7 linked regions of the Ovis aries genome follow. The protein of the gene in region 1 interacts with the protein of each later gene in a pairwise test. Links are inferred from orthologs where the notes say so. Each region holds a gene or a part of one and is shown on either strand. Other genes may lie near its edges.

Evidence for each region.
Region 2: the proteins of FATE1 (region 1) and SYNPR interact in binary tests that used the Homo sapiens proteins (3 or more experiments, as listed by UniProt). The link is inferred for Ovis aries from reciprocal best matches to the Homo sapiens genes FATE1 and SYNPR.
Region 3: the proteins of FATE1 (region 1) and AGTRAP interact in binary tests that used the Homo sapiens proteins (3 or more experiments, as listed by UniProt). The two-hybrid records come from large-scale screens. The link is inferred for Ovis aries from reciprocal best matches to the Homo sapiens genes FATE1 and AGTRAP.
Region 4: the proteins of FATE1 (region 1) and LNPEP interact in binary tests that used the Homo sapiens proteins (3 or more experiments, as listed by UniProt). The two-hybrid records come from large-scale screens. The link is inferred for Ovis aries from reciprocal best matches to the Homo sapiens genes FATE1 and LNPEP.
Region 5: the proteins of FATE1 (region 1) and TRAF3IP3 interact in binary tests that used the Homo sapiens proteins (3 or more experiments, as listed by UniProt). The two-hybrid records come from large-scale screens. The link is inferred for Ovis aries from reciprocal best matches to the Homo sapiens genes FATE1 and TRAF3IP3.
Region 6: the proteins of FATE1 (region 1) and CD79A interact in binary tests that used the Homo sapiens proteins (3 or more experiments, as listed by UniProt). The two-hybrid records come from large-scale screens. The link is inferred for Ovis aries from reciprocal best matches to the Homo sapiens genes FATE1 and CD79A.
Region 7: the proteins of FATE1 (region 1) and CCDC70 interact in binary tests that used the Homo sapiens proteins (3 or more experiments, as listed by UniProt). The two-hybrid records come from large-scale screens. The link is inferred for Ovis aries from reciprocal best matches to the Homo sapiens genes FATE1 and CCDC70.

The regions. Positions count from the first base shown.
Region 1 is NC_056080.1:84,011,662-84,015,694, reverse strand, and holds the end of FATE1 (fetal and adult testis-expressed transcript protein), read left to right. Parts: intron 1-1,627; coding exon 1,628-1,734; intron 1,735-2,105; coding exon 2,106-2,181; intron 2,182-2,945; coding exon 2,946-3,077; 3' UTR 3,078-3,533; downstream 3,534-4,033. UniProt on the Homo sapiens protein: Involved in the regulation of endoplasmic reticulum (ER)-mitochondria coupling. Negatively regulates the ER-mitochondria distance and Ca(2+) transfer from ER to mitochondria possibly implicating it in the regulation of apoptosis.
Region 2 is NC_056072.1:38,208,312-38,212,292, forward strand, and holds the start of SYNPR (synaptoporin), read right to left. Parts: upstream 2,801-3,981; 5' UTR 2,628-2,800; coding exon 2,610-2,627; intron 2,485-2,609; coding exon 2,419-2,484; intron 1-2,418. UniProt on the Homo sapiens protein: Intrinsic membrane protein of small synaptic vesicles. Probable vesicular channel protein.
Region 3 is NC_056065.1:41,204,312-41,208,610, reverse strand, and holds the start of AGTRAP (type-1 angiotensin II receptor-associated protein), read left to right. Parts: upstream 1-1,499; 5' UTR 1,500-1,574; coding exon 1,575-1,709; exon of another isoform or gene 1,710-1,730; coding exon of another isoform or gene 1,731-1,757; intron 1,758-4,299. UniProt on the Homo sapiens protein: Appears to be a negative regulator of type-1 angiotensin II receptor-mediated signaling by regulating receptor internalization as well as mechanism of receptor desensitization such as phosphorylation.
Region 4 is NC_056058.1:94,053,864-94,057,363, forward strand, and holds part of LNPEP (leucyl-cystinyl aminopeptidase), read left to right. Parts: intron 1-1,243; coding exon 1,244-1,357; intron 1,358-2,945; coding exon 2,946-3,080; intron 3,081-3,500. UniProt on the Homo sapiens protein: Release of an N-terminal amino acid, cleaves before cysteine, leucine as well as other amino acids. Degrades peptide hormones such as oxytocin, vasopressin and angiotensin III, and plays a role in maintaining homeostasis during pregnancy.
Region 5 is NC_056065.1:72,994,534-72,998,033, reverse strand, and holds part of TRAF3IP3 (TRAF3-interacting JNK-activating modulator), read left to right. Parts: intron 1-38; coding exon 39-102; intron 103-362; coding exon 363-387; intron 388-642; coding exon 643-672; intron 673-764; coding exon 765-860; intron 861-3,500. UniProt on the Homo sapiens protein: Adapter protein that plays essential roles in both innate and adaptive immunity. Plays a crucial role in the regulation of thymocyte development.
Region 6 is NC_056067.1:50,930,312-50,934,321, reverse strand, and holds the start of CD79A (B-cell antigen receptor complex-associated protein alpha chain), read left to right. Parts: upstream 1-1,210; 5' UTR 1,211-1,235; coding exon 1,236-1,311; intron 1,312-2,686; coding exon 2,687-2,980; intron 2,981-3,203; coding exon 3,204-3,322; intron 3,323-4,010. UniProt on the Homo sapiens protein: Required in cooperation with CD79B for initiation of the signal transduction cascade activated by binding of antigen to the B-cell antigen receptor complex (BCR) which leads to internalization of the complex, trafficking to late endosomes and antigen presentation.
Region 7 is NC_056063.1:21,628,193-21,632,297, forward strand, and holds the start of CCDC70 (coiled-coil domain-containing protein 70), read left to right. Parts: upstream 1-1,305; coding exon 1,306-1,974; 3' UTR 1,975-4,105.

The sequences.
Region 1 (4,033 bases):
CATCAATTCTTTGGCACTCAGCTTTCTTTAAAGTCCAGCTCTCACATCCATACATGACTACTGGAAAAACCATAGCTTTGACTAGACAGACCTTTGTTGACAAAGTAATGTCTCTGCTTTTTATTATGCTGTCTAGGTTGGTCATAACTTTCCTTCCAAGGAGTAAGCGTCTTTTAATTTCATGGCTGCAGTCACCATCTGCAGTGATTTTGGAGCCCCCCAAAATAAAGTCTGACACTGTTTCCACTGTTTCCCCATCTACTTGCCATGAAGTGATGGCACCAGATGCCATGATCTTAATTTTCTGAATGCTGGGCTTTAAGCCAACTTTTTCGCTCTCCTCTTTCACTTTCAAGAGGCTCTTTAGTTCTTCACTTTCTACCATATCTTCTTCACATGCATTAAATATGGGGAAAAGCCAGCCATTTTGAGGAGGAGGGAGACCTGATTGTTTCATGAAATCACTTAAGTCTAGTAGTTCTGTGGCTGATTCTGTTAGCTATATTCACCTTGGATGTGGGCAAGCTGCTTATGTTCTAACTTTGATGTAGAAGGTGGGGGCACTGAGAGGGGTTTAATTAATCTCTAGATTAATTATAGTTGCCTATTAGGACTAGAGGAATATACCTTTAAAAAATAGAGTCCTTATATTGATTGTAGAAATTAAATTTAGACACTTAGAATTAAATGTATAAATTCTATATATTTATTCATTATTTATTTTTGAGTAAAATGTTAATGAAATGCTATTGCCTCTGAGAGAACCACAACATGAAAGAAAAAAAAAATTCATAATACTACTCTGCTCATTTGGGAAAAATGATGTAGTGTGCCTTAAAAAATAAATGAAAATAAAAATAACATTTTTGGAAATAATTGACAGAGGGAGGCTGCACTTGCTGCAGTTCATAGATTTTAAAAATCCCCATCAAATGTAAATAAAAATCTGATGTTTTGAAATGTATATAACTCTAAGTAGAGAGTTTCTAAAATTAAAAAGAAAAGAAAGAAAAGACAACTCCTTTGGACAGTTAGACCTATCAAATGATTGGTGATCACAAGTTATCATCAGGCTTGCATATGTTGTTAAATTAATTCTTAAGATATTGATGTGTTAAATATAAAATATTTTACCTCAAACAAACAAACAAACAATACACCCTACTAACTCATCCTTATTTTGCCTTCAACTCTCTCAAAAAGCATTTTCTCATTCTGATCCCAATCTATAAGAAAATCAAGGGGGTATTGTGGAAATTTTTCTAGGAGAGACTCTCTATCTAATTCTTCTTTATAGTCCTGAAGTCTTCCTGACACACACTGTCCTTTTAATGCTGTTTTTGAGGTATCTTACTGCTTGCAATGCAGGAGACGTGGGTTTGATCCCTGGGTCAGGAAGATCGCCTGGAGTAGGAAATTACAACTCACTCCTGAAGTCTTGCCTGGAGAGCCCCATGGCCAGAGGAGCCTGGTGGAGGTGGGGTGGTGGCAGGCAGCCAACCTGTGTGACTCCCAGGCTCTTCTGATTCTGGAGGATCAGGCTCCACGTGACTCCCAATGGGGTGTGCTGATGCTCCCAAAGTATGGGCCCAAGCAGGATACTTTGACTGATGGTTCCTTTCCCTAGGGGCTGCAGCTGCGGGGAGTTGGAGTGGTGGGAGAACAAGGCGATGGTGGTGCCCGACCCCAGGAGAATCCTGGCGGCTCCCAGGGCATGAGGTCCCAGTATGAGCGGTAAGAAGGATCCCATGGACCCTGCGGGAGAGAAAGGACAGGGCTTTTGGGGCAGGGACCCAGGGAGTTGGCAAGCAGACTGCCCAAGAGGGAGCAGTGAACAGCTGGCCATGCTTGGAGTATGGGGACTCTGTTGCCTCCTCACCACAGCCATAGAGCCCCCTGGCCCCTTGCCTGTTCAGGGCCTCCTAGCATCCCACAGCAGGGCCAGCTCCCAGCCCTCAGGCTTCAGGACCTGTGACCAGAGAAGGGGAGAGCTCCAGGCAGACAGACTCATGGTCCAGAGAAGTCCACAACCTTACCCATCTGCCTTTATGGCTCTCCTGGGACCACCAGAGGCTCTGACTCTCTGTGTTTAACTCTCTGTGCAGCCGAGAGTTAAATACACTGGCTGAGATTGGTCTGGAAGAGCTCAATGAGCTGGAGATGGAGATCATGAGAAGACAGGTGAGTGTCTGATTGTCAGGGACCCACTTGAAGGTGGGAGGCAGAATCATGGTGAATGGGTGGGTGGGGCCACCCACCTTGAGGATACCCAGCCTCTCCAATCATATTCATCTGCTAGCAGTGGAGGCGAAATCAGGCTTGCTTCCCCATTCACCCAGCCTTCTTGTCTCCAGTGTCCTATCTTGAGGCCTAGGCTCAACCCCATCTTTATGCCTGACATGTGGGAAGGGAGAAGGGAGGAGAAGAGGAGGAAGAGGGGACATCAGAGGATAAGAGAAGTTTATTCATAGAGAGTGATGCCAAGAGGACTGAGCCAGGGGTCATGTTCATTCAGGCCAAGTTCAGGTCTCCTTGGTTTGAGACCCCAGCAGGCATGGGCATGGGCAGGAAGGATGTCTTCCCTGGTGGCCCTCTCTGGCCTTGCATGTCACCCCATCCTGAGGCCCTTACTCTGGTGCTGCTGCACCCCATCCCCTTCCCTGGCAGCTGGGATGGGCTGGCTTCTTCCAGACAATGGGAAGAACTGGTGATGGTGGAGGCAAGGTGGCAGGGACTGAGAACACAGACAGCCCAGTCTCTGGGTTACACTGGGCCCATCCCCAGCCCTGGTCAGCTGCTCTGCCTGCTTCTTGCCCAGAGGCCCTTTTCCTCCCAAAGCACAGCAGAGGCCCTCCTTGGTCTAAAGTCATATTTTACCCCCATTGGTGTGCTGTGGACTTCCCTAGAAGAGCCTTGTTCACCAGCTAGCTCTGGTCTCTCTGCAGCTGTTCATGATTACTGAGCGTCTGCGCTACCTGGAGGACCAGAGTGCCACCTGGCACCAACGGGAGGTGCTGTTATTCACCATGCTGCTGTCTTCCTGCATCGCCAACCTATGGCTGTGGATGCGCCAGTGATGTTTCCTGCCGGTCCGCCGTGCAGCTAGAGCCCTTCAGTCCTCCCTTTCTTCCCTTCTCTCCCTCAGCCACCTCTGCCATCCTCCTTCTAACTTTCAGCAGCCTTCAACAGTATCGCCACCATTTTCCACCTCTGCCCGAGGGAGGCCCTAGCTGCTGGGAGGTGGAGGAAGTGTAGAATCGCGAAGGTCAGAATGGACTGAGATCCAGCCTCTTTGCAGGGAGAGGATGGTGGTTTCCAGTCCCCACAGTAACAGCAGTGGTAGGTGCTTCCTCCTTCCCTGTCAGGGCTCCATGGTGACCATCTTGGAGCTAGACCTTGCCTCTGGGCCCTCAGTGTCTCTTCTGTTCCATCCTTGGCAGGGGCTTGGCTGTGTCTTCCCTGTTTTCTTCAAGGTTGTGCTCAGGGCTCTGCACACAGAATATTCTCAATAAAAGTTCAGTTATAGCAGCAAACCCTGGTGACTGAATTTCTTGCATCCAGGACTCGCATGGGGACAGCCCCTCTGGACAAAATCCTTGGTTCCTCCTTCCCAGGCTCCTCCTGCCTCTCCATTGCCTGCCCAGTTGGGGAAGGCACTCCTTAGGGGCAGAGTTAGGCAAAGCCCTTCCTGTGGGACTTCCACCAGCAAATGCTTATGGGGACATAGTTTTGCAGCAGCAGCTTGTCCTAGTTGGACATTACAGGGACTCATTCAGAGAAATCTCCTGGATAGGACCACAAACTTTTCCATTTGCTCAGGAGAAATTGAGGCCCAAAGAAGGGAAACATGGCCCTGGGGTCACCTGAGACAGCCCTAGGGTCTAGGGCTTGGCCTTCCTCCAACAGATCGATTGGGGACCAGCCCCAACTCAGCTTCGGAGGCCGGATGGGAGATCACATAGAGGGACTTTGAACCCTTCTCCTCTGTGTCCACAGCTCTGAAATGTTCTCATAGAGGACAGTGTGCTGAGTA
Region 2 (3,981 bases), on another chromosome or scaffold:
GACTACCAGCTTCTCCCACAGAGAAGCTGCTCCCGCACAGAACAGGAGGAACAGGGATGTTTTTAGTGCTCTGTCATGTTCAATTTACAATTTTTGCTTATCACATACAAAGGTACCTGTGGGGAACACTGAGACAAACAGAACAAATTTTCTTCCAAAGCTAGACCTCTCTCTCATTGTCACCATTTTCCACAGGAAACAAAGACCGGTGAGTGATTCTTCAGCCATGGCATGCACGGAAGAGATATTTTCCTTTCTCCACCTTGATACATGTTCTCACACCTTCTATCTCCCTGCTCTCGTTTGTGAACCTTAGCTCATTCAAAAGGTGGCAATCAACTAACGTATACGTCCTTTCAAGGTTTTACTGGTCCCTTACTCAGGTTCTCTAGCACAGATGAGAGCTAATCATTGATTTATAAGCAAAATTCCTTCTTCCATAAAGAGTTAGAGGCCAAGAAGAGAGAAAATCAACTATACTCCAATTTTTAAAAAATTAAGTTAATATATCTTTCACACACACATCAAGAAAAGATAACTATAAGACAGGATGATAAATTCTTATGAATAAATGAATGAATAAGATGTAATGGAAGCTCAAAGAATGGGGTGAATCATTCAATTTGGGGTAGAGGAGAGAAAAAGAAGCAATTATGAGAGAAATCTTCACTGAGAAGGTAATACTTAAGCTGAGGTTGAAAGACAAACATTTGTATTTGGCTTGGGCTGTGACAGGACTCCATCCAGTATGAACACAAATAACAAGAACATTAAGCTAACAGGTGCTTTTGAGTTTTGGGGGACCTTGTATAGCTTAGTGTGGTGGTCCTCTAATGAGCCTAAGAAGAACCTAGGAAGTTGCTTAAAAATGCAGATTTCTGGGCACCCACCTTTCCAATATTTTTATTTGATTTCCAGAAATCTGCATTGAAAACAAAACCATTCACACTTTGAAATATACTCACTGAGGGTGTGTGGGGGGAGTGACATGAAATAACATTGTAACAGGACTGAAGGGAATACAAAGGAAGGTTTCAGGCGGGTGACAGCAACAGTGTGAGACCAGGAGAGACTGTGTCAGAAATGATGGCAGGTCTTTGAATTTTGTTTTGAGAGACAATGGCTTGACAATGCAGCCTTTCCACAGAGAAAAACAACAACAACAACCACCCACTCTTCCACAGAGAATGTTTGTTGAATGGCTAAATGAATGAGCGTGGACAGAAGTCTGAGAAAGTCAAGTGAAAGCTGCCTGGACTGAGTCCTGCATGATTTAACCTGGCTGTGAGGAAAACAGTTAAGAAAAGCCATCCTTGAACCACTGGTTCAAGCCTTCCAAACGCTGTCCTGATGCCATGTCCAGTTGACAGATTCATGCATTTTAATGCAGGTTTACAAACAAGGCAGATGTGATTACCCTGATCAACCATGTAAGCATGTAACACTGTTGTGTTGCCAAACCCGGATACTGGCCCTTGGAGCTAAGATCTGGGAGGACGAACACGCTCTTACATAACTTCCTAGCTCCTCAGTGATAGGGCCTGTGATTAATGCTACATGACGGGCTTTGAACTTTCTGTTCAGATAGACTCGCTTGCCTTTCAGAGCTCCTAGCAAGAGAGAATGTGTGACCCGCAGATTTCACTCTGAATAACGATCATCCAAGCCCGCAATACTAACAAAGCTCTGTGGCCCCGTTGGTAGCTTTTCTGCGCCTTACTCCTCTGATAAGCTGTCCTAGGACTATCAAGTTCTTTTTTACGGGGACAGAACATGAGAGTAATACAACTTCCTAAAACCCAGGCGCTGAAGAAAGCTCCAAAGTAGGCTGGGAGGTTCTAGGAGAAATCAGAAAAGTCCTCGAGAGCGAATAGAGTAGAGAAACTCTGGGACAGGAGGAAGAAGTCCTGCCTTCAACGCTGCTGTTTTTCACAGCTTCTCAGCTTCCCTCTCGCTGGAGCGTGGATCACAGCGCTTCCTGCATCCCAGGCGCGGCGGAGAGCTGCTGCCGCGCTCACCAACTTTCCCAGCTTGGCCGAGCCCTCTCTCCTACTTCGCTCACCCCCGGTCCCTCCTCTCACGCCCTCAGCCCCGCAAAATGCAGGTGAGCAGCCAGAGCCCAGCGGCAGCGCCTCCATCTGCTCTCCTCCCGGTCTCCCCAGGAGGCTTCTCTCCTCAGCCCCTGCGCGCCTGTGAGATGACACCTCGTCTAAGCGCCTGCAAAAATTCGTCCACGCTCCCGCCTCCAAGCCGGATCCCTCCATCCTGTCCCCGCCATCCTGGAATGGCACCTGAGGAGAGGGGAGGATCGAAGGCAGCGGCTGGCCTCCCAGGCTTGGAGAAGAGCCGAGACGAGAGCACCCCACCCGACCTCTCCTCACCTGCTGGTTCCTCCCCGCACATTAGCCCGCTACTCACCAATTCTAGGGCTCGCAGGAAGGCAAGGGGCTCCTTCAGCGCCCGGAAGGTACCTGCTGAGGCCAGCTGTGGACCAAGAAGGCGAGACAGAGAGAGAAAGAGCGAGAGAGAGCGTGAGGAAGGGGCTGGGGGACGCGGCATCCAACCCCGGGGGTCGCGCTGCATTACCCGCGCTGCCCAGTCAGTCCTACCTGGCTCACGGGATCCATAGCTCGCCTCGCTCGGGCTTCTCACCCAGCGGCGCCTTTGAAAATGAAGTTCGAGGGCCACCGCCGTCCTCGGCCGCAGGGCCCAGGGCCAGGAGCCCCTTTTCGGAAAGGGCGCGGAGAGCGAGGCGGCGGACAGCTGAGCGCCCCGCGCGGGCTCGCAGCGGCCGGGTTCTGGAAGCCTGCGCGTGCGGGCGCGGCGTGCACGGTCTGCGAGGGTGGGAGGGGCCGGCGGGGCGGGCGGGCGCGGGGCAGCGGGGAGGTGGGGAGGGGAGCGCGCCCCGCGCCCGGGCCAGGCGGCGATTGGCCGGCTGCGGGCGCCCGAAGGTGGGCGAGGCCAAGCCGCGACCTCGGAGTCGCGTCGCCGCGGGCGCGCCCTGTACCCTTAGGCTCCAGGGCAACTTTGGGGCTGTAGGTTTGGAAGAAGCCGGCTGGCACCCTCAGCAGGATGGTCCCCCCCGCCTGAAGACCTGGGTTCCAGGTAAGAAACAGGCAACCCACACCGTAAGTGAAGAGGTGTGTGCGTTCTGGAAACTTCTGGACACCAGGGACAGACCGCTGCCCTGGTCATGCGCTGGAGCCTTCATGGAATGTTCTTCGCGTGGCCCAGCAGTGCCAGGTGGTGGGAGAGATGTAAGAACAGGGTGAATACTGCCCATTCCCTCAGGGATAAGCGGGGGGCCAGGTCAAGGCGAAGGGGGCTGGCGGGGAGACTGGAAATGCACGAATTATAAAAATATGGGGCAGTATGCCGGGCAGGTAATCCCGTAGCCACTGTGTCAGGTCTGGAGCAAATTACTACGCCTGTAATTTTGAAGAAGAAAAAAAGAAAAACAAGTAGAAAATAGATTTCGTCAGGCTGAATTATACAAGGTAACATAGCTCATGAGATGCTAAACAGGGATTGGAATTCAGGTTTCTGTGAAACTCATGCTGTTTCAACTGAGATCCTCTGCCTAAAATACAGTCCTCAAATTAAGCCCCCCAAATCCATCATAAATAGGACTGAGTGCTCCCCATCTCACCTCATACACTCTTCCTCCCTTAGTGTCCTGAGCCTGCCACCAATAGTAACAACAACAAAACAGTTGAGCTCTTTCAGAAGTTGTGTTATGGGCTTGATAAACATTATTTCATTAAATATTCACAAAACGCCCATGGGTTAGTAGTAATAGTTACTATTAGTAGTAGTTAGCAGTAGTAACTACTATTGTTCTCATTTTAGAGATGAAACTGAGACCCATGAGGGGAGTATGGAGAATGAAGCCAGAGTTTAATTCAAAATAGAAAAGGAGACTTGCCTGATGGCCCAGGGGTTAAGACTCGGCCCTTCCACCACCATGGGCCACAGGTTAGA
Region 3 (4,299 bases), on another chromosome or scaffold:
AGTTTTATTACATACCTACATCCTTGGATTAAACACCTCTACAACTGAGTGACTTCACTTTCACTTTTCACTTTCTTGCATTGGAGAAGGAAATGGCAACCCACTCCAGTGTTCTTGCCTGGAGAATCCCAGTGACGAGGGAGCCTAGTGGGCTGCCATCTACGGGGTTGCACAGAGTCGGACACGACTGAAGTGACTTAGCAGCAGCAGCAGGATCCAGGGTTTATAGGAGACATCTCTTAGAAGGAAACAATAATGTTATAATATCCACTAGTTACTGAGGAATTCCTCTTTTCTAGGTACTATGCCAGTAACAATAATTTATGATAATTAACTAATAATGAATATCAAAACAGTAGCAAGTCCTGATCAAGGGCTGTCTGCCAGGCAATGTTCTAAACATTTTTACATATTAACAAATCCTTATTAACAAATTCAAAATAACCATCCTTCAAGGAAGATACTATTATTTCTCTCATTTTACGGATCAGAAAACTGAAGCACAGAGAGGCAAAGTGACTTGCTCAAGTAGAACCAGTAAGTGGACAAAGTTAGGACTCAAACTCTTTTCTCTGGTCCAGCTAGTCCTCTGGGCTCTGAATCCCAACAATCGTGCCCAGTGTAGCTATCTGTCCGGTCTCTGAAGCTTACCAGCTCTCTGTTACTCTGGCAGATGTGCTATTCTGCTCAGGGGGCTGGACAGCTGTGTCTCCAAAAGGGACATTCAAATAGGCCAGCGGACTCCGCGACCTTGCAGAAGACCCCACTGCTGCTGCTGCTAAGGCGCCTCAGTCGTGTCCGACTCTCTGCAACCCCATAGACGGCAGCCCGCCAGGCTCCCCCGTCCCTGCGATTCTCCAGGCAAGAACACTGCAGTGGGTTGCCATTTCCTTCTCCAATGCATAAAAGTGAAAAGTGAAAGTGAAGTCGCTCAGTCGTGTCAGACTCCACACCCACCTGGAAAACTCCGCTCTTTGTATCTAGAGTCTGTATCTTGATAGGATCTTAGGACCCACCCAGCCAGTCTTTCAGGTTTCCACGTGGTCTCTCCCCTCCTGGAAATAAGAATAAGCACTCAGCGGGACAGACCCAAGGGGATCCCAACAGTCTTGAATAAGTCTTCCTTACCTTTAAAGTAAGTGTCAGTATTTTTTCTTCAAACATGAATTAGTTCATTCATCCTCAGAAGGATTCTATGAGGTAGGTAACCGTCTTCACTTTCACTGGGGAAGGAGGGAGGAGAGACTGTGCCCTCAGGGATGAGACACCAGCTGTTACCACATCTGCAGATTGTACTTGGAGGTTCCCCCAAGTTCTCCTGGCTGCAGGTGGTCCCGTCAGCCCACCTGCTGGGATTTTAACTCGGCGAGATATTGCGCCCTTTGCGACACAAATCTGGATATTCTCCAGCCGCCCGCCACCCCGCCCCCGCCCCCGCCCCCGGCCCCGCCCCCGCCCCGGCCCCGGCCCGCCCCCGCCCCCGTCCCCGGCCCCGCCCCGTAACTACCTGGGCAGTGGCGCAGTGAAGGCTCAAGCAGCACGACGCCGTCTCCTAGATACCGGGCCGTCGTCACATGACCTACTCACGTGACCCCCCCCCCACAGCCCAGCTGGGGTTGGAGCTCTGGCAAAGGGCAGCCGGCGGGGCGGGGCTGGGCAAGTTTGTTTCCCGAGTTCGGAGACCAGGAGCCCCCGCGGTTGTGGCGCAGGTGCTGTCCGGTTGGGTCGCGATGGAGCTGCCAGCCGTGAACCTGAAGGTGGCGATGGGCGGGGCGGGTCTCCCGGAGCGTGTTGGGTATTTGCGCTTTTAGTAGGTGATTTTAGAGGTGAGGATTTTAGAGGTAGAGGACCGAGAATCTGGGGAAAGTGGAGTGGTGGGGAGAAAGAGAACGAACAGAGCCCAGGTGTAAGGAGGTGGGCGGACAGACCATACCAGGAAGACAGATCCAGAAGGCCAGCAGGAAAGACCGAGAGGGAGCTGGAGGAGGGAAGCAGCCGTCTCTTCCCTAAGACCGGTTCAGCTGGGAGCGCTGAGCCCCTGAGGCTCGCTTTGGCCTGCGCGCCCAGAATTTCTCTGGAGAAAGAGGAGAGCGTGGTGGGGAGGGACCCAAGGAGAGCCCGAGGCTGGACTTGGAGGCAGGACACCTGCCTTCCACCGAGAGAGGGGTAAAGCTTTCACCTGGACCCCCAACACTGCCCTTACCGCCTCTCTTGTTGGGAAGATCAAGTTAAGGAAATCAAATGATCCCAGACAGATGGTTTTTCAGAGTTGATAGATTCAACGTCTTTATTTCTTAAGCAACACAGACACCAATAGAATTTACTCAAAAGCAGAATCCCCCAACTTTGCACATTTAGGAAAACACTGTAGGTCGCTGGGGTGTCTTCATTTCCTGAGCTGTAAGAATGCCAAAGGCTGTTCTTCTTTTTCTCCCCGCCCTCCTCCAGCCCAGTGTTTCTTGGCTGGGTTTGCCACTGAGAGGCTGAAGCCTTTAGCTTTGGTCAGAAAGGTTTTAGCCTTGGACCAGACCTGCCATCTGCGGCCTAGGTACAGTTTCCTTTGAGATTGTATGCAGGAGTACCCTCTTATTCACCCTTGACAAAGCATTATGCACCCATGGTGTCTGGTCCTAAAGTAAGAGATAGATGACTACAGAACAATACATCATCCATATTTGGATTATTAGACATGGTCTGTGTTGTGACTTCACGTGGGCACATTTCCTTAATATTGAACACTTGCTTCAGCAGACCTCTCCGAGGCTTCCAGTCAACTGCTGCAGGGGGAGAGATGGCTGTGACAAGGGAATGGGCTTGGATTGAAGGTTTAGCAGGGAAGAAATTTACACGAGGGCAACTGAGGTTCATTGGTATCAACATTCACTCTGTTCCAGGCTGTGTGCAGTTAATGCCGACTACCTTTTCTCTGATTAGAGACTTGCCTAAAATAATTATTAAGGGGGAAGGAGGAAAGGGACAGAGGAGCAGGAACTGACGAGGGAGTGAGCCCTAATTCTTAGGGCGTCTGTGGTGTGCCGGGTTATTTATTTAGTCGTATCAACCTTCTGAGATTTTTGTAGCTGAGCCAACTTCAGCTCAGACCAGATAGGTAACTTGTCAAGGCCCCACAGAGATTAAGTGGCAGAGTCAGAATTTGAACCCATCACGGTCAGACTTCAAAGCTCTGTCTTTTCCTGGCCACCATTAGTTAGGGCCAACTTCTGCTTTGACAGTTAGTGCCCAGTGGGAGGGCTTAGTCTGTTTGTGGCTTTTTTTTTTTTTTTTTTTGGAGAAACTTTGTGGGCCTCACAGGCCACACGTGACCACAGATGTGAGCTTTGCCGGCTTTCACTGCCCACAGTGAAATAGCTGGTCCTTTCTTTGACTTGGGAAATAAAACACCATATCTCTAAGGGTCTTAGCTGCTACCAATCAGAGACAAGTAAGTGCTGAGAGGTCGTGAACAGCTAGGGTTGCCAGGTGACATTGAGGACATCCAGTTGAGTTTGAATTTCATATCAACAATGAATAACTTTTTAATCTAAGTATGAAAAGTGAAAGTCATTCAGTCGTGTCCAACTCTTTGTGACCCCAGGGACTGTACAGTCCATGGAATTCTCCAGGCCAGAATACTGGAGTGGGTAGCCTTTCCCTTCTGCAGGGGATCTTCCCAACCTAGGGATCGAACCTAGATCTCCCACATTGCAGGAGGATTCTTTACAGCTGAGCCACCAGGGAAGCCCCAGGATACTGGAGTGGGTTATCCTATCCCTTCTCCAGTGGACCTTATATCCCAGGCAATATTTGGAACAGTCTAGAAAATTATTCATTATCTGAAATTAAAGATTAACTAGGGGTTCTGTTTTTGTTGTTGTTTTTTCTGGCCTCCCACAGGAGTCTAAGTGGGCTATTCTGAGATCAGAACCCCTTGGGAGCTCAGAAAATGCCCAACCCCCCAACCCTGCACTACCCTTGCCCTCCTTTCACACATTCCTGGGGTATTGGCTCAGTGCCTGCTTGTGCCCAGCCCACCCACAGTAGGCAGTGGTGCCAGGTGAACAGAAGCAGCTGCCCCGGGCCCTCCAGGTAGTTCCTAACCCAATGCCACACATGAGGCAAGTCCTGAGCTGAAGGAACGTCATTGTGAGAGTTTAGAAAGTTCTAGACTTGGGTTCATGAGGGCTTGTGAGAAAAGGCCCTTGGGAGGAGGGTGCAGGGGGTTAGTATAGCATGAGGGTTAAGAATTCCGGAACCTGACTGCACAATAGTCAGGGACTGCCTTGTCTCGGGGCTTCCCAG
Region 4 (3,500 bases), on another chromosome or scaffold:
CTCTGGATGATGTAGAGAAAAGGAAGGAAAATTATATGGGTGCGTGACCCTCACTCTTTCTTCCCCGGTACCTGGTCCCTCTCGTGCCCTCAATGCAGTGCTCATCAGGGTGGGGTGGACCGACCGGGGTGTCGCGACGGTGGGAGGAGGTGGGCGAGAGTGGGGCGTGCTCTGGCCGGTTGGCCGCCTACCTCAGCCACAGCCCCAGCGCACCGGGCCTTGTGAGGACTTCTCGACAGGCTGGCTTATGAAGCGTGTGCGTATTTGCTCTTACAGTTACGCACGTATTCAAACTGTTTTTTAGGGGATCTGCTCCAGGTCTGTTATTCCTGGGGCCGGCCATCACCACAGCAGGAGTGTTTCCTTTGTACTTCTTTACGACTTAGAAGTCATCTTCTTCTGAAAGAGGTTTTTAAGATATTAATCTTTGAAAATATGCTTTTGTGATTCTCCATAGAGCTTTGTTTCAGTACCTAGTAATCTTGTCATTTTGCTGATGGTTTGAGCCGAGCCCTTGGCCACAGTGACTGAACTGCACGCTTTTTATTGGCCACGCTTCATTTCAGGGATTTTTGAGATGAATTTTTTTAGGGGTGTCTCATCTTCTTTTTCCTTCTTATTACTTCATGGAAAAAAGCCATTTAAAAGTCTTTCTGATTTTATTTATTTGTATGCATGCCAAATTTCTTAGGGAATGTTGTTTGAATTCTGTTTTGAATCATGTAAATACTCAATGTGGTAACTGAGGAGAAGCATGCAGTGCAGGCTCTCTGACTATAGGAACATCCCTCATACAGACGTTCGTTTTTGGGTTGTCATGATGATTGTAGACATGATGGAAAATAATATTACTAACTTGATACTAGAAAGTAGAGGAATTTATCTAGGAAATGTTTTAATGAGGTGACTAAAAACAGTTTTTGTCTACCTACTATACAGCATGTCTGTTAAACTGATAAATAAGCCAGTTGTCTTTGTTTGTTTTATGTAAGGTAAAATGTTAAATTTATAATTTTACTTTAAAAGTGAATTTACTCCATGTATACAGTTTTACTTTTAAAGTAAATTTATATCACAAATGCAATGTATTTGTAAGACTTAAAGTTGAATATAGTTTGCTTTAACTGCAATAAGTATACTTTTAAGTAGTGGTAATCTGGTCATAGGCGATTAATCTGACAATTCGATTATTAGAAAAGTCTTGAGAATGTGAAGTTGGTTAGCTGTTTGCTCTTTCCCGCAGTGGTTTGGTAACCTGGTGACAATGCAGTGGTGGAATGATCTGTGGCTGAATGAAGGCTTTGCTACATTCATGGAGTATTTCTCTTTGGAAAAAATATTCGGAGAGCTCTCCAGTGTAAGTACGCTGTTTGTTAGGCCTCCTGTGAATGCCAGGAAGAAAAATAGTCCAATCATACTGGACATGTATTTTCCATGCATTTGGAGCAATGAAAATATTTCTAGAAAAATACAATAAAACTGACTTGTTACTGATCTCTATACCTCTTGAGATTTGACAGTGAAAATTGTGCTTTTAGTTACTGATGGATTTCAGAAAGCAGAAATAATGTGAAATTATTTTATACTTTGTCATTAAGATGAACATTTCAAATTGCTTTGCTAAATTCTGTGTTTAATAGATGTGGCCCTTCTGCTTTAAGGAATTTAGATAGAGTTGGAAAGCATTTTTTTTTATTTGCAAAACAAAACTTTTTATACTCCTTATAGAGAAGAAATGAAGACATTTTGTGGCAATGCTATTATCACTGTGATCATTCTTACAACAGTGATACACAGCGAGACAAATAATTTGCTCTTTTTAGGTCCAAACCATATTTTGTGCCCGTTTCAAAGCCGTGGAACCCCATTCTGTTACAGAGAGCATGATGATGTTGTTACTGTGTTCTTAGACTCTCCGGAGATGTTTCTTCTCCTTAGAGAGATTTGGACATACTAAGTCCTATATGGGGGGAGGGCATGGCAACCCACTCCAGAATTCTTGCCTGGAGAATCCCCATGGACAGAGGAGCCTGGCGGGCTACAATCCATGGGGTTGCAATGAGTCAGACACGACTGAGCGACTAAGCACGCAGCATAGGTCATACATGACAGATATTGTGGAATAATTCAAGCAGTAAATGGAAAAGTATAAGAATCCGTTTCTACTATAGAATTCTGTGACTTTCTATTAAGCTTCTTGACTGTATGATCCAAAAGTGCTTCAAAAGATGAGTACTCTCAGAGCTTTCAGTTTGAAATTTTTGTGTAGGGCCTATTCAAAGATTTCAAATGGTAAAATGAAGTCAGTTTAAGCTTGAATATTAATAAGCAAAGTAATGTAAATCTGGGTATGGGTCTTAATTAAACAAAGAGATATACAGTTTCACCACTTGGTGGTGCCCAGAATGTTTAAAAGCTTTTAGTATATATTCTAGAGGAACTGGTCTGTTGAACTCTCAGACTCCTTTCTGTTTAAGACTTATATTTTACTTAAGAATAGCCTCAGTCAAGGGAAATGTATATTATCTCAATAGAAAAGCTGGATTATGTATGAGAAATCAACTTAAGGAGCAGTTCCTTTTTTTTTTTAATTTAAGATTTTATTTTACAAATATTCACTAGCCATTTCTAAATAATCATTTGAACAACTGGATTTAGCATATGGTCGCTTTAGTAATAAACTCTTAATGTATCCTTGTGTTGTTGTTTAGGGAACACTGATTTTTGTGGAAGTTGTAATTTTATTTTCAAATTTAACAAATATGCATAAATGTCACATTCTTCCTATATCTTCAACAGATTATTTCTAAAGTTTAGTGAAGCTAGTTGATTTTTTTTATAATGACCTTAAACAGTAATTAGTCTAATTCCTATCAATAATTACTAAACTTGCCTCTGTCTTTAATACTGTTCACAGTTTCTTTATTCTGTTTCATTTTTTGTAGTATGAAGATTTCTTAGATGCTCGATTTAAAACAATGAGAAAAGATGCGTTGAATTCATCCCATCCAATATCATCATCATCTGTTCAGTCTTCAGAACAGATTGAGGAAATGTTTGATTCTCTTTCCTACTTTAAGGTATTGCCATGCACAAAAAGTACCTGGAGTGGGTTACAAATTAATTTCATATGAAAGCAAGCTGACTGATTTAGATTGTTTTAAAGACTAGACAAGTATTATTTTCAATTTTCCTGTTAATTTTTAAGATGTTTGCTTCTACTTAAATCTTGATCTTAACTTGATCTAGGTTCTTCTTTCTTTCTCTGTCTCTTAAGTTCTCTAACTAGTATTCTGGCTAGTTAACCAGATCTTACAGTAATAGATCTTTTAAAGTTGGATAACTGTCCAGATCTACAGGTGGAATATGTCCAGGGGAGGCTCTAAGCCTTTGGCTGTGTCATTCAGGACTGAAGTGTGTTCCAAAGTCAGAATTGCCAAAACAGGTAGACAAAAGGAGATTTTTACGAATCAAAGACTCTATTGTAGAATTAGAAACCT
Region 5 (3,500 bases), on another chromosome or scaffold:
CCCAGGCCTCCTGAATCATCTCATCCCCTCCCTCTCAGGCACTCAGACAAAGGCAGGAGAAACACAGTCAACAATCAAGAATGATGCCAGTCAGCAAACCAAGTGAGTACCTTTCATGTTCCTGGCCCCAGCTCCCCCAAAGCCCATCCATTCCTCTCTTCTAAGCTTTCACTTGAATACCCTCCCCCAGAATTTTGTGGAGTGGAACACAAGGAACTTTCACATCCACCTTAATTAAGAAAAAGGAGGGCCTTCCCACCCTATTGGCTCTCCAGAAGAGATGACAGAAGGAATCTACACCCTGCCTCCTGACACGCCTGTTTCTTTAATCCACTGCCATTTTTGTTTTTCTTCTCTTCCAGTTATGGAGTTGCAGTTCTAGATAAGGTAAGGAAATCCTCATGGTGGAGGTGTAGAACCACATGGCATCTAATCTTCTTCAAGGTCCAGAATTCATTGGTAAACTTAGCTGGGATGGCTGGGGCATCCTCTCCCTGGATGAGCACAGACAAGGAAGCCTGGAGGGACCCTGAGTCCAGGAAGAAAATTCACTTAGCACAAGCCAATCCTGGCTCAGATTCCATGTTCTAGGATTTCGGGAAAGCCACAGTCTTCTTAAACACCCTTTTTCTTTCTCTCTAGGAAATCATCCAGCTTTCTGAGTACCTCAAAGTAAGTAGCATGAACTTTCCCCTTAGCTCCTCCATCTGTCTGCTCACGTCTCCTCCAGGTTAATTTTAACCCACTTGCATTTTGCCCCTCAGGAGGCCCTACAAAGGGAGCTGATTCTAAAACAGAAAATGGTGATTCTCCAAGACCTACTGTCTACCTTGATTCAGGCCTCTGATAGCACTTGGAAGGTAAGGGAAACCTTTGTTTGAACAAAGCTCAGGGGCTTCTGTATGTGTCCATCTCGTTCTTCTTTCCATACCATTGCAGCAAGAGAAGGAGCTTTCTTACTACGGAAGATGCCGAAGGTAGGGTTAGACATCCAACATGTCACAGTAGATATATGGGAGAGCTTGGCTGAATCCAGGGTCGTCAGCTGAGGACCATGCTGCCACTCACCCAGGGAAGACCCAGAATCAAAAAAAGGCCCTCCTTTTTTTAATTTGTTGGAAGAAACAAAAGATGGTCTCAATACAGTTCCTGTTACTGACTGTGGTAAATATCAACTGTTTTTGTATGGAATTCATATCAATATTAACTTCAGCCACCATGTACCTACTTCTCGCCCCAGACATGAATGTGAAAGCAGGAAGGGACCTAGCGATTATCTAGTCTAATTTTCTCATTTTGCCCATGAGGAAACTGTCAGGGAAGTCAGGTGACTTGCTAAAGTCACAGTGCTAGTCAGAGGCAGAACTGGAACTAAATTGAGACCTCCTGATTTTAGTTCATTCATTCAACAAATATCCACAGATCACGTTCCCTGCACTGAGCACTGGAAATAATGAGATTAATCAGACAGGGTTCCTGCTTTTAGAAAGCTTGTGGCTTTCTCAGGGAGACAGATGCCTAAACAGTGAAGAGATATGAGAAAGAAAAAAAGCGCTTTCAGGATATGGTAGAATACAAGGGGAGAACCAGGGAAGTACTTACAGTTATATTTCAAGGCATTGACTATCCATATTGTATTTTCTAGGCAAATGTGACAACAAGAACTATATTCTGGTCAGGGGATACAGCACAGGCAAAGAACCAGAGGCATGATATAGTCGCCAGCTTTTTATTATCAGGACACCTTTATATTCTTTAAAAAAGTATTAATATCCAGGGGCTTCCCTGGTGGTCCACTGGTTAAGACTCTGCACTTCCAGTGAAAAAGGGTACAGTTTCAAAGCCTGGTTGGGGAGCTAAGACACCACATGTAGCATTATTATTAAAAAATAATATTAAAATCCAAAGAATTTTTTCATTTACCATTTAGAAGTGAAAACAGGAATTTTAAAATATGCACTAAGTTTAAAATAACAGTAGACAGACTACATGGGAACTTAAATTATAGACTGTTTGGAAAATATTTTTAAATAGTGAGAGAAGTAGCACTGCTTTATACTTATGCGAGTATTTTTAATGTCCGAACAGAGGACAGCTAGACTCCCATGTTTGCATCTGCATTCAATCTGTTGTTAATACATTGTTTTGTTGAAATATATGAGGAAAATCTAACCTTACACAGAAACACAGTTGGAAAAGGGAAGACCTTGCAGATCCTGGATTCCCGGGGGTCCTTGGACTCCACACTGAAATTCCTAGACTGCAGTGTTCAAGCAGTTTGATGCCACCAGAGCAGAAAGCCACAGGTGTACAGATAGAACACACAGGCCTCACAGGCCTCTGTGAGCATCTGATCGTCCACACAGATGGTGTGCTTAGAAAGCCAGCCCACCCGGGACAGGCAGGCGTGGGACAAAACTGCGAAGCCTGCAGTGACGTCAGAGACCTCCAAGGCTCAGCCAGCCCTCTTCCCGTCGGTCACTGTACCTGACTTTGGGTGTCTGTATTCAGGGCTCCTGCTGCTTAAGGAAGTGGTTTTCGTAGCAGAGTAGTTCCCTGAGACAGACAGCTGTGCATGCCAGGTGCTTTCCGGGGCTGAACTAAACTGAGACTGTCTCATTCGTTTATTCAACAGACGTCTGATAAGTCCTGACTATGTGCTGGGTTGGGTGCGGCAGGCACAAAAGGCAGTAGATTTCCCACAGCAGCCAGGAAGAGAAAGACAAGTCATAAATAAACCTAACTGCCGCGTGCGCAAGCTGTAACAGCACTTTCTACCAAGGGACCCAGACAGAAGAGAAGGGAGCGATTCCTCTGCCTGTGGAGGAACAGGGTAGGCTTCAGAGGCAAGGGGCCACTTCAGTTGCGTCTAGGACTGAGGACTTTACCGCGACAGACTGAAAGTCGCTCACTCACGTCCGACTCTGCGATCCCATGGACTACACAGTCCATGGAATTCTCCAGGCTACAGTACTGGAGTGGGAAGCCGTTCCTTTCTCCAGGGGATCTTCCCAACCCAGAGATCGAACCCAGGTCTCCTGCATTGCAGGCCAATTCTTTACCGGCTGAGCCACGAGGGAAGCCCAACAAAGACAGAAGCAGGAATGATGAAGGGGGAGAGAAAGCAGAAAGGATAAGGGTGCTTACGATAAAGCAATCTAAATGACTACAGGCCTGGGAGTAACAGAGCGTGGGGCAGGGCCAAGGGTGATGGAAATGAAGGGATTGTGTCAGAGAAGCTTCAGAGAGAGGACTTCTCTAGTATTACGGCTCTTAAATATTTTCTGCTGAATAGGGTATGTCGAACTTAAATAGTCATGGATTCCCTTTTAAAGGACAAGTGTGTGTGTGTGTATCATGAGAATGCATGACACCCCAGTCTGAGAAACACTGCTGCGGGCAGTAAGCAGGGTAGCAATGGGCGGCGCTCACCTCAGGTCTGAAGTCCTACACTTAGCAATGTCCGCCCCATCCTGAGAAGGAGCTTGTCCAGTAGCTGT
Region 6 (4,010 bases), on another chromosome or scaffold:
TCAATCCCTGATCAGGGAACTAAAACCCACATGCCACAACTTACGAGAGTTCACGTGTCGCAATTAAGACCCTGCGCTGCCACATAAAATGATACATATATATATTTTTAAATGCCGAACCTCAGAAAGGAAAGCCATCACGCAGGCACAGAGTTGGTGAGCCTGCCTCATCTATTCCTCCTGTGTGTATGTTAGTCGCTCAGTCGTGTCTGACTCTTTGGGACCCCGTGGACTATAGCCCACCAGGCCCCTCTGTCCATGGACTTCTCCAGGCAAGAATACTGGAATGAGTAGCCGTTCCCTTCTCCAGGGGTTCTTCCCGCATCTCCTTATATGTGTGTGTGCATGGGATTGAACCCTTGTCTCCTGCATTGGCAGGTGGATTCTTTACCACTGAGCCACCAGGGAAGCCCTTATTCCTCATAAGCATTAATAATAACCGACCTTTACTGAGCACCTATCCACGTGCCGGGGTCCTGTGTTCAGCGCTGTGCATGTACAACCTCTTTTGTTGGAGAAATTCTCTTTTCCAACCCCAAGAAGGGAGGACACAGAGGCTTAGGGACTCCCCATGCTCCAATGGTTAAGAAGCCGCCCTGCAAGGCAGGGGACGTGGGTTTGAGCCCTGGTCAGGAAACTAAGATCCCGCGTGCCATAAGGCAATAAGCCCATGGCCACAACTAGAGAATCTGTGTGCCCCAACGAAAGATCCCGCATGACACAGCAAAGATCTCATATGCTGCGACTAAGACCCAATGCAACCAAATAAATTAATAAGTATCTAAAAAAAAAGAAGTGAGGACACAGGCTCGGAGAGGGGACAAGTTTTGCCCGAGGCCAATGAGAGGCAAAGACCAAGCTTGGAACCACCACCACCCTTGACTGCCTGTGTGCAGCAGGCCCCCCAAACCCTGGCTCCCTCGAGCAGGGCGGGTTTCCTTTCCAGTGACGAGCCAGGCCTTGAACCAATCTCTTCCCCCCACCCAAGCAGCCTCCTCTCAGGGGAGTTGTGGTGGCCACAGGTGCAAGAAGCGGTTCCTCTCCACTCACGGCCTGAAGCCTCCCCCACCAGGGGCTTCCCCCTCGCCCGCCAGCCAAAGGGCCCAGCAGTGGGGCCAGTGAAGCCCGTCTCCGCAGGGCCGGGCAGGAAGTGGGGCGGGGTTTGGGGCTCAGCGAGGTGGGATCTGGTACCCCAGGACTGCTGCAACCCAGACTAACCAACCCACTGGGAGAAGATGCCTGAGGGTCCCCAAGCCCTGCAAAGCTCACCTGCCACCATCTTTCTCCTCCTGATCTCCGCTGCTGGCCTGGGTATGTGGTTAGCAGGCAGGTGCTGGGGGAGGCGGTAGTGGGAACTGGGAGACTGTTGAGAGGGGCCCCAGGCAGAGGGGGAGGGAGAGGAGCTGGCAGGAGGCAGGCTAGAAAAGACCCTGTAGAAACTGCATCTGTCTGCTTGATTGTCTCAAACAGGCCGGTGGGAGGCTGGAGGGGGCTCAGCGAAGTTGAAGGTGCGTCCTGGCCCGGTGGAGGGAGGCAGGGGCAGGAGACACCTTCCCCAGCCGCTCATCCCCCCTGATCAAAATAAGGAACTAAGGTTGCCCTTGACTGACTGAGCTCCAGAGCTGGGGGCAGGGAGGGGACGGTGGTGGGTAGCAGTCAGCTTCAAGGGGGAGAAAAATCTTTCTCCTTTTCTGCCTTGAATCCTAGTCTTCACCCCCTACTTAGGGAACCCCCTTCTCAGTGCTGGGGGAGCAAGTGACCTTCCCCCTTGCCCTCCCACACAATGCCAGCTGGCAGGGCTGTGACCACCCTGTTTGACCAAGGAGTTGAGAGAGGCATCCAGTCACCCCAAATTTCCACTGGGAGCTGAGATTGGAGTGACTCCTCAGGTTGCTGTCTCTTACCCCACTTCTTCCTTCTTCTCTCTTCCCCACCTCTCCCCTCCTCCCTCCAAAAGAGGCAGAGCCAGCCATGCGGACTGGCCCAGGAGGAGGGGCACAGAACTGGGCCTTCCCCCGTGCCTGGGCCGCCCCATCTCCTTCGACCCAGCTGAGGCCCTCCCAGCCCTAACCAGCCAGCTCAGCCCAGTCCCTGACCTCACCCCTGGCCCCCAGCATGACACAAGCAAGCCAAGGAGAATGAGGGCCGGACCCAGGGTCACAGGGCAGGGCAGGCTCACAAACTGGCGAGAAGAGGCCCAGGGCCAAGGGACGCCTGCTGCTGTGGGTCGCAGCTGGCCCACTGGTAGAATGGGTTATGACAGAACCGATTCCTATGGGTTCTGTGATAATTACACAAAGTAAAGTGCCAGTGTGGAGCCAGGCAGGGGCTGGGTGAGAAAATAATCCAGGAGGGCCTTCAGGAGGAGGTGATGCCCAAACTGATTTTGTAAGGAGCTTCCTGGCCTGGGGCACTGCTAGTCCTAGGGAACTGCCTATTCAAGTGCCAGCGAGCTCAGAGGGGGTAGAAGCACAGAGCAGGGGGCAGAGGGAGGAGGTGGCTCTGGAGGGGCAAGTGGGGACACCTCCCAGCCCCCCCTCCACTCTGGGTGTGTCACTCACACTTCCCCACACCCCACCCCACATACACATACACACACGCAGCCAGGAGCCCTGCAGCTACCAGGGGCCGCGCTGGGTCAGTGTCCCCGTTGGCTGTCTCCAACCCGCCTGCCTCCTCTCTGCAGGCCCCGGGTGCCAGGCCCTGTGGGTGGAGTGGGGCCCACCCTCGGTGACGGTGAGCGTGGGGGAGGAGGTGCGCCTCCAGTGCATGCACAACGGCAGCAACACCAACGTCACGTGGTGGCGCGTCCCCCAAGGCAACTCCTCATGGCCCCCTGTGATGCATCGCGGGAGCCTGGGTGCCGGGGGCGAGCTGATCTTCAAGCAAGTGAACAAGAGCCACAGGGGCATGTATAGGTGCGAAGTCAGTGACGGCAAGAAGATACAGCGCTCCTGCGGGACGTACCTCCGCGTGCGAGGTGAGTGTCCATCCCGTCCATCCGTCGGGAAGGCGGGATGGAGCCCGTGCCGGCATCGCCTGCATCTCGGGCATCCTGGGTCTCCGGCTCTCACGCAGCGGCCAGTCTTCTCACCTGCAAAGCGGGAGCGGCTTCCAGGGTCTTGGGCCTCGCTGGAGGGGGCGTGGCCTAGGGGCGTGGCCAGCGGCAAGGTGGGGCTCTGAGCCGTATTCCCTCCTCACAGAGCCGCTCCCCAGGCCCTTCCTGGACATGGGGGAGGGCACCAAGAACAACATCATCACCGCTGAGGGCATCATCCTCCTCATCTGCGCCGTGGTGCCTGGAACGCTGCTGCTCTTCCGGGTGAGCCCGCCCCCCAGGCCCACCCCGCGGGAACTAGCGGACCCCCAAGAGTCCCTCCCGCCTAGAACTTGGCAGAATGGCAGCGCCCACCTCCCAGGCGCCGAGGGCCTAAAAATTTAATAGAATGAACGCATTCAAACTGTGCTGGGACCAGAGGGGCGTCCTTGCTCAGTCTCCCCTCAGGGTTGTCTTCACCTCTGGCCCCAGGGATGCCTCACTGGTCCCTCTATCCAGGAGGGCTGTACCCTTCAGATGTAGCCCAGGACGGGGAAGATGGGAGCTGGTGTCATCCCGGATGTCTGACCCCCACCGGAGACTCTGGCATGCCTGTGGGTTCAGCCGCTAAGCGGTGTGTCTGGTTCTTTTGCGCCCCGTGGCCTGTAGCCCGCCAGGCTCCTCTGTCCATGGGATTTCCTAGGCAAGAATACCTGAGCTTCCACAGTGGCTCAGCAGTGAAAGAATCCACCTGCAATGCAGGAGACGTGGGTTCCATCCTTAGGTCGGGAAGATCCCCTGGAGAAGGGAATGGCAACCCACTCCAGTATTCTTGCCTGGAGAGTCCCATGGACAGAGCCTGGCGGGCTACCGGCCACAGGATCGCAAAAAATGTCAGACACAACCGAGCGACTAAAACAACAACAAATGCTCTTTAGGCCACAAGACAACTATAGCCACTTAGTATTATTGC
Region 7 (4,105 bases), on another chromosome or scaffold:
CTCCTACTAAACTGACTCCTGTAGGTCCAAGGGTTTCATCTTCTGTTTCCCACATGGCTTGTAACATAGGACATGCACATGTGTGGCCCCCTGCTTTGAGCACACCCATCAGAAGGTTATGAGCAACTCCCCAGTGAGAGAGCCAAAACCTCAGATATATTCTAGTTGATGCAACACAAATAAATCACTATGTGGCTGTGGCACTTGATTATTTAAAAGCAAAACAAAAACTGTCATATGTCTTAATTTAGCATATCACACTTGTGTGCCCTGACATCCTAGTTGAGAACCACTGACCTTGTTGGCCTGTTATTTCAGTGGCCTTGAGCTTTGAATGTACTGACCACTTCTTTAGCCCAAAGCCATGATCATCCAGCATCTTTCTCTACCAAAGCTTGTCCCTCAAAAACACAAGCAGGAGGACAAAGAGAACAATGGTTAAAATTTCCCAATAATGGACCCACCTACCCTGTTGGTGGGAATGCAAACTGGTACGTCCATTATGAAGAACAAAATGAAGGTTCCTTAAGAAACTGAAAACAGAGCTAGCACATGATCCAGCAATCCCATTCCTAGGCATATATCCAGAGGAAAACATAGTTCGAAAGGATACGAGCACCCCATTGTATCCTGGCAGTATCACTGCAGTACTGCTTACAACAACAGTACATGGAAGCAACCTAAATATCCATTAACAGAAGAATGGATAAAGCGGAACTGGTAGATATATACAATGGAACATTACTCAGTCATAAAAGAGGATGAAATAATGCTATTTGCAGCAACATGGATGCCCCCAGAGATTATCATACCAATTGAAGTAAATCAGAGAAAGACAAATATTATATGATATAATTTTTTTGTGGAACCTTAAAAAGAAAGATAAAATGAACTTATTTACAAAAGAGAAACAGACTTACAGACTTAGAGAACCAACTTATGATTACCATGGGGTAAGGGCTGGGGGGAGCGATGGATTGACATGTACACACTGCTATTATATAATATAGATAACCAATAAGAACCTACTGTGTAGGATAGGGAACTCTGCTCAATATTCTGTAATAACCTAAATGAGAAAAGAATTTGCAAAAGAATAGATACATGTAAATGTAAAAAAGATGTAAGATTTTTTTAAAAAAATCTCAATAGTGCTACACAGACTCCAAGGCTTGCCCTCTGGGATGCTATATTCAAGGGTGTGTTCTTTCTCGTCCCCCCACAGGGTTGGACCAGCTGACCTGATCCTGGCCAGTGGCCCTGTCCTCCATCACAGCCACCCCGCCATCCGGGCCAACTGGGACTATGTTTCCCTTCAAGGTGAGAAAATGGATGGGGCTTGCCTGCTTCCGCTCGCTGGTGGTCTCCTCCTCCAGCATTCGCCAAAAAAAACTAATCCACAAGCTCCAGGAAGAAAAGGCCTTCCGCGAAGAGATGAGACACTTCCGGGAGAAGATCGAAGACTTCCGGGAAGAGATGTGGAATTTCCGGAGCAAGATGCGTGCCTTCCGCGGTGAGATCTTGGGCTTTTGGGAAGAGGATAGGCCTTTCTGGGAAGAGGAGAAAACCTTCTGGAAAGAGGAAAAAGCCTTCTGGGAAATGGAAAAATCTTTCCGGGAAGAAGAGAAGGCCTTTTGGAAAAAGTACCGAATCTTCTGGAAGGAAGACAGGGCCTTCTGGAAGGAGGACAACGCCTTGTGGGAAAGAGACCGGAACCTCCTTCAGGAGGACAAGGCCTTGTGGGAGGAAGAAAAGGCCCTGTGGGTGGAGGAGAGAGCCCTTCTGGAGGAGGAGAAGGTCCTCTGGGAGGATAAGAAGACCCTCTGGGAGGAGGAGAATGCCCTCTGGGAGGAGGAGAAGGCCGCCTGGGTGGAAGGGGTTGTTCCGGTTGTGGAGCAGCAGGTGCTGGAAGGCGGGCACCGCCACATCAGTGGCAGGCCCTGGTCGCCAGCCTCCTCCCGGGGCAGGGCGTGAGTGCAAGAGGCACTGGATTGGGACTCAAGTGGAGTCACACTCAGGGTGACCCCGCATGCCTAAAAAAAAAAATGCTCTTATTTGGCTCCTGCCTTCAAAAGATCTAATAAAGTCCTGAGGAGAGGTCTGGAAAACCAACTTTTGTAGGGAGGGCCAGCTGCATTTTCCCAGGTCTTGTGATTCTCCGAGGTCACCGTCACATCCTCCACGGGCTATAACTGCTGTCCCTAGGGCTGGCAGCTCCGGTGAACCTGGCAGGAGTGGGTGGGTGTGAGTGGAGGCCCTGGGCTCGCCTTAAAAAAGAGTTAGAAAGGAAGTGGGGGGGGGTGCTCAGACAATGACAGTGAGAGATAGGGAGGGCCAGAGAAGGGCAGAGACATTTCTGCCTCTCTCCAGTTCTGAGGTAGTCATTTCTCCACTCTGGGCAGTCTTGCCTGGCGAAGGAAAATGGCAACCTACTCCAATATTCTTGCCTGGAAAATCCCAGGGGTCGCGAAGACTCAACTGAGCGACTTCACTTTCGTGCGTTGGAGAAGGAAATGGCAGTCCGCTCCAGTATTCTTGCCTGGAGAATCCCAGGGACAGAGGAGCCTGGTGGGCTGCCGTCTACGGGGTCGCACAGTGTCGGACACTACTGAAGCGACTTAACAGCAGCAGCAGCTGGGCAGTCTTGGAAGCCTGGGGCGGGTGGACAGCTTTCCAGAAAAGGCTATAGTGGTGTTAACATTTCATTCGTGGGTTTTCCTCACCTGGCAGGCTATTTAGACACAGACAGCATCCCTTAATGACTCATTTGCTCACTGTTCCAGGTTTCCACCAAACTTTGCTTCCCATTCTCTAAGAAAGGGGAGTGGCATTAGACTGAGGCTCTAGAGCTCCGCCCACTCCCCTTTTCTGATGCTGGACTCCTTGGACCAGGTGAGGCCACCTGCAAGGTGTAAGGGAGACCTCCTGCCCTATACTCCTATTAAATACTCAGGTCTCAGATACCTGTGTCTCTACATTATCAATCCCTTCCTTTGTGTTTCCCTTCTTCCACTCAATTAAAGTGCCTCAGGGAAGTAGAACACTAAATGAATGCACGCTAATGTGATCAGCCATTTACACACCCAGCTTCTCTTCCGGTGTCAGACTACATATATGGGCATTGATATGGAAGGGCCCAGAAGGTGAGTAGTAAGAAATGTCGAGGCCAACAGCTCTTGCTTCCCCTTTTCTTGGGCCTGGCTCTCACTCTCATTCATGCAGCCACTTATGTGCCCACCTTTACTACTTGACAAGCACGTTCACACCTGCCAGTTCATGTAACCTTCCTCACAACTCTGTAGGTTGACAGGGAAGGTCCATAAACCCATTGCACATGTGAAGAAAGAGACCTGGAGAAGCAGAGAGACTTCTGGTTGCAACCAGAAGGTCCAGAAGAAGAACCCACATTGTCTGCCAGTTGGTCCCATTCCTCTTCGAACCCAGCCCGGGTCATAGGATGTGGCTTTAGACCAGTTCAGCCAATGATAGTGTCAGAGCTGGATGAGCCTTAAAGCCCTTGGGAGACTTCACTGTGGTTTGGGGTGGTGTTCCAAAAACACAGAGAAAAGAGGACAGAGTCCCCTTGGGTATGCTGAGCAGACATCTGGGTACCAGGAGAGTGGGCTGACTTCATGAACAGCCTCCATGGCTCCGTATCACTGTGGGAAAGCTGGGGTTCCTTGGAAGGCCTCTGACCCTCAGGAGTCAGGGCCAGGGCACTGGGATCCACCTCCTCCTTTGCCACACACCCAGACTTGCATCTTCAGGTCTCAACAGGCAAAGATGTCAGTAAGCGGAGGGAACAAGATGCTTGTGTGAAGACAAGGGAAACAGCTAGGCACCCTCACTGTGACTGAATGAATTGAGAGCAGATTAACACTGCTGGTGGAGAGTCTAAGGATGAATAATCAACTGGTGAGTAGGCAGAAAACTGAGCAAAGGGAAGAAAGCAACAGTTGTATAATATGAAACAAAGACACGTGCAGAAAAGGAAAAACCACAGTGGAACACTACATGCTCAGCTATGAATAGCATTTACATCGTTAAATATAAATACTGATTGTGATCTAACCACAGTTACAATGCACAATATTGGAATAAGAGG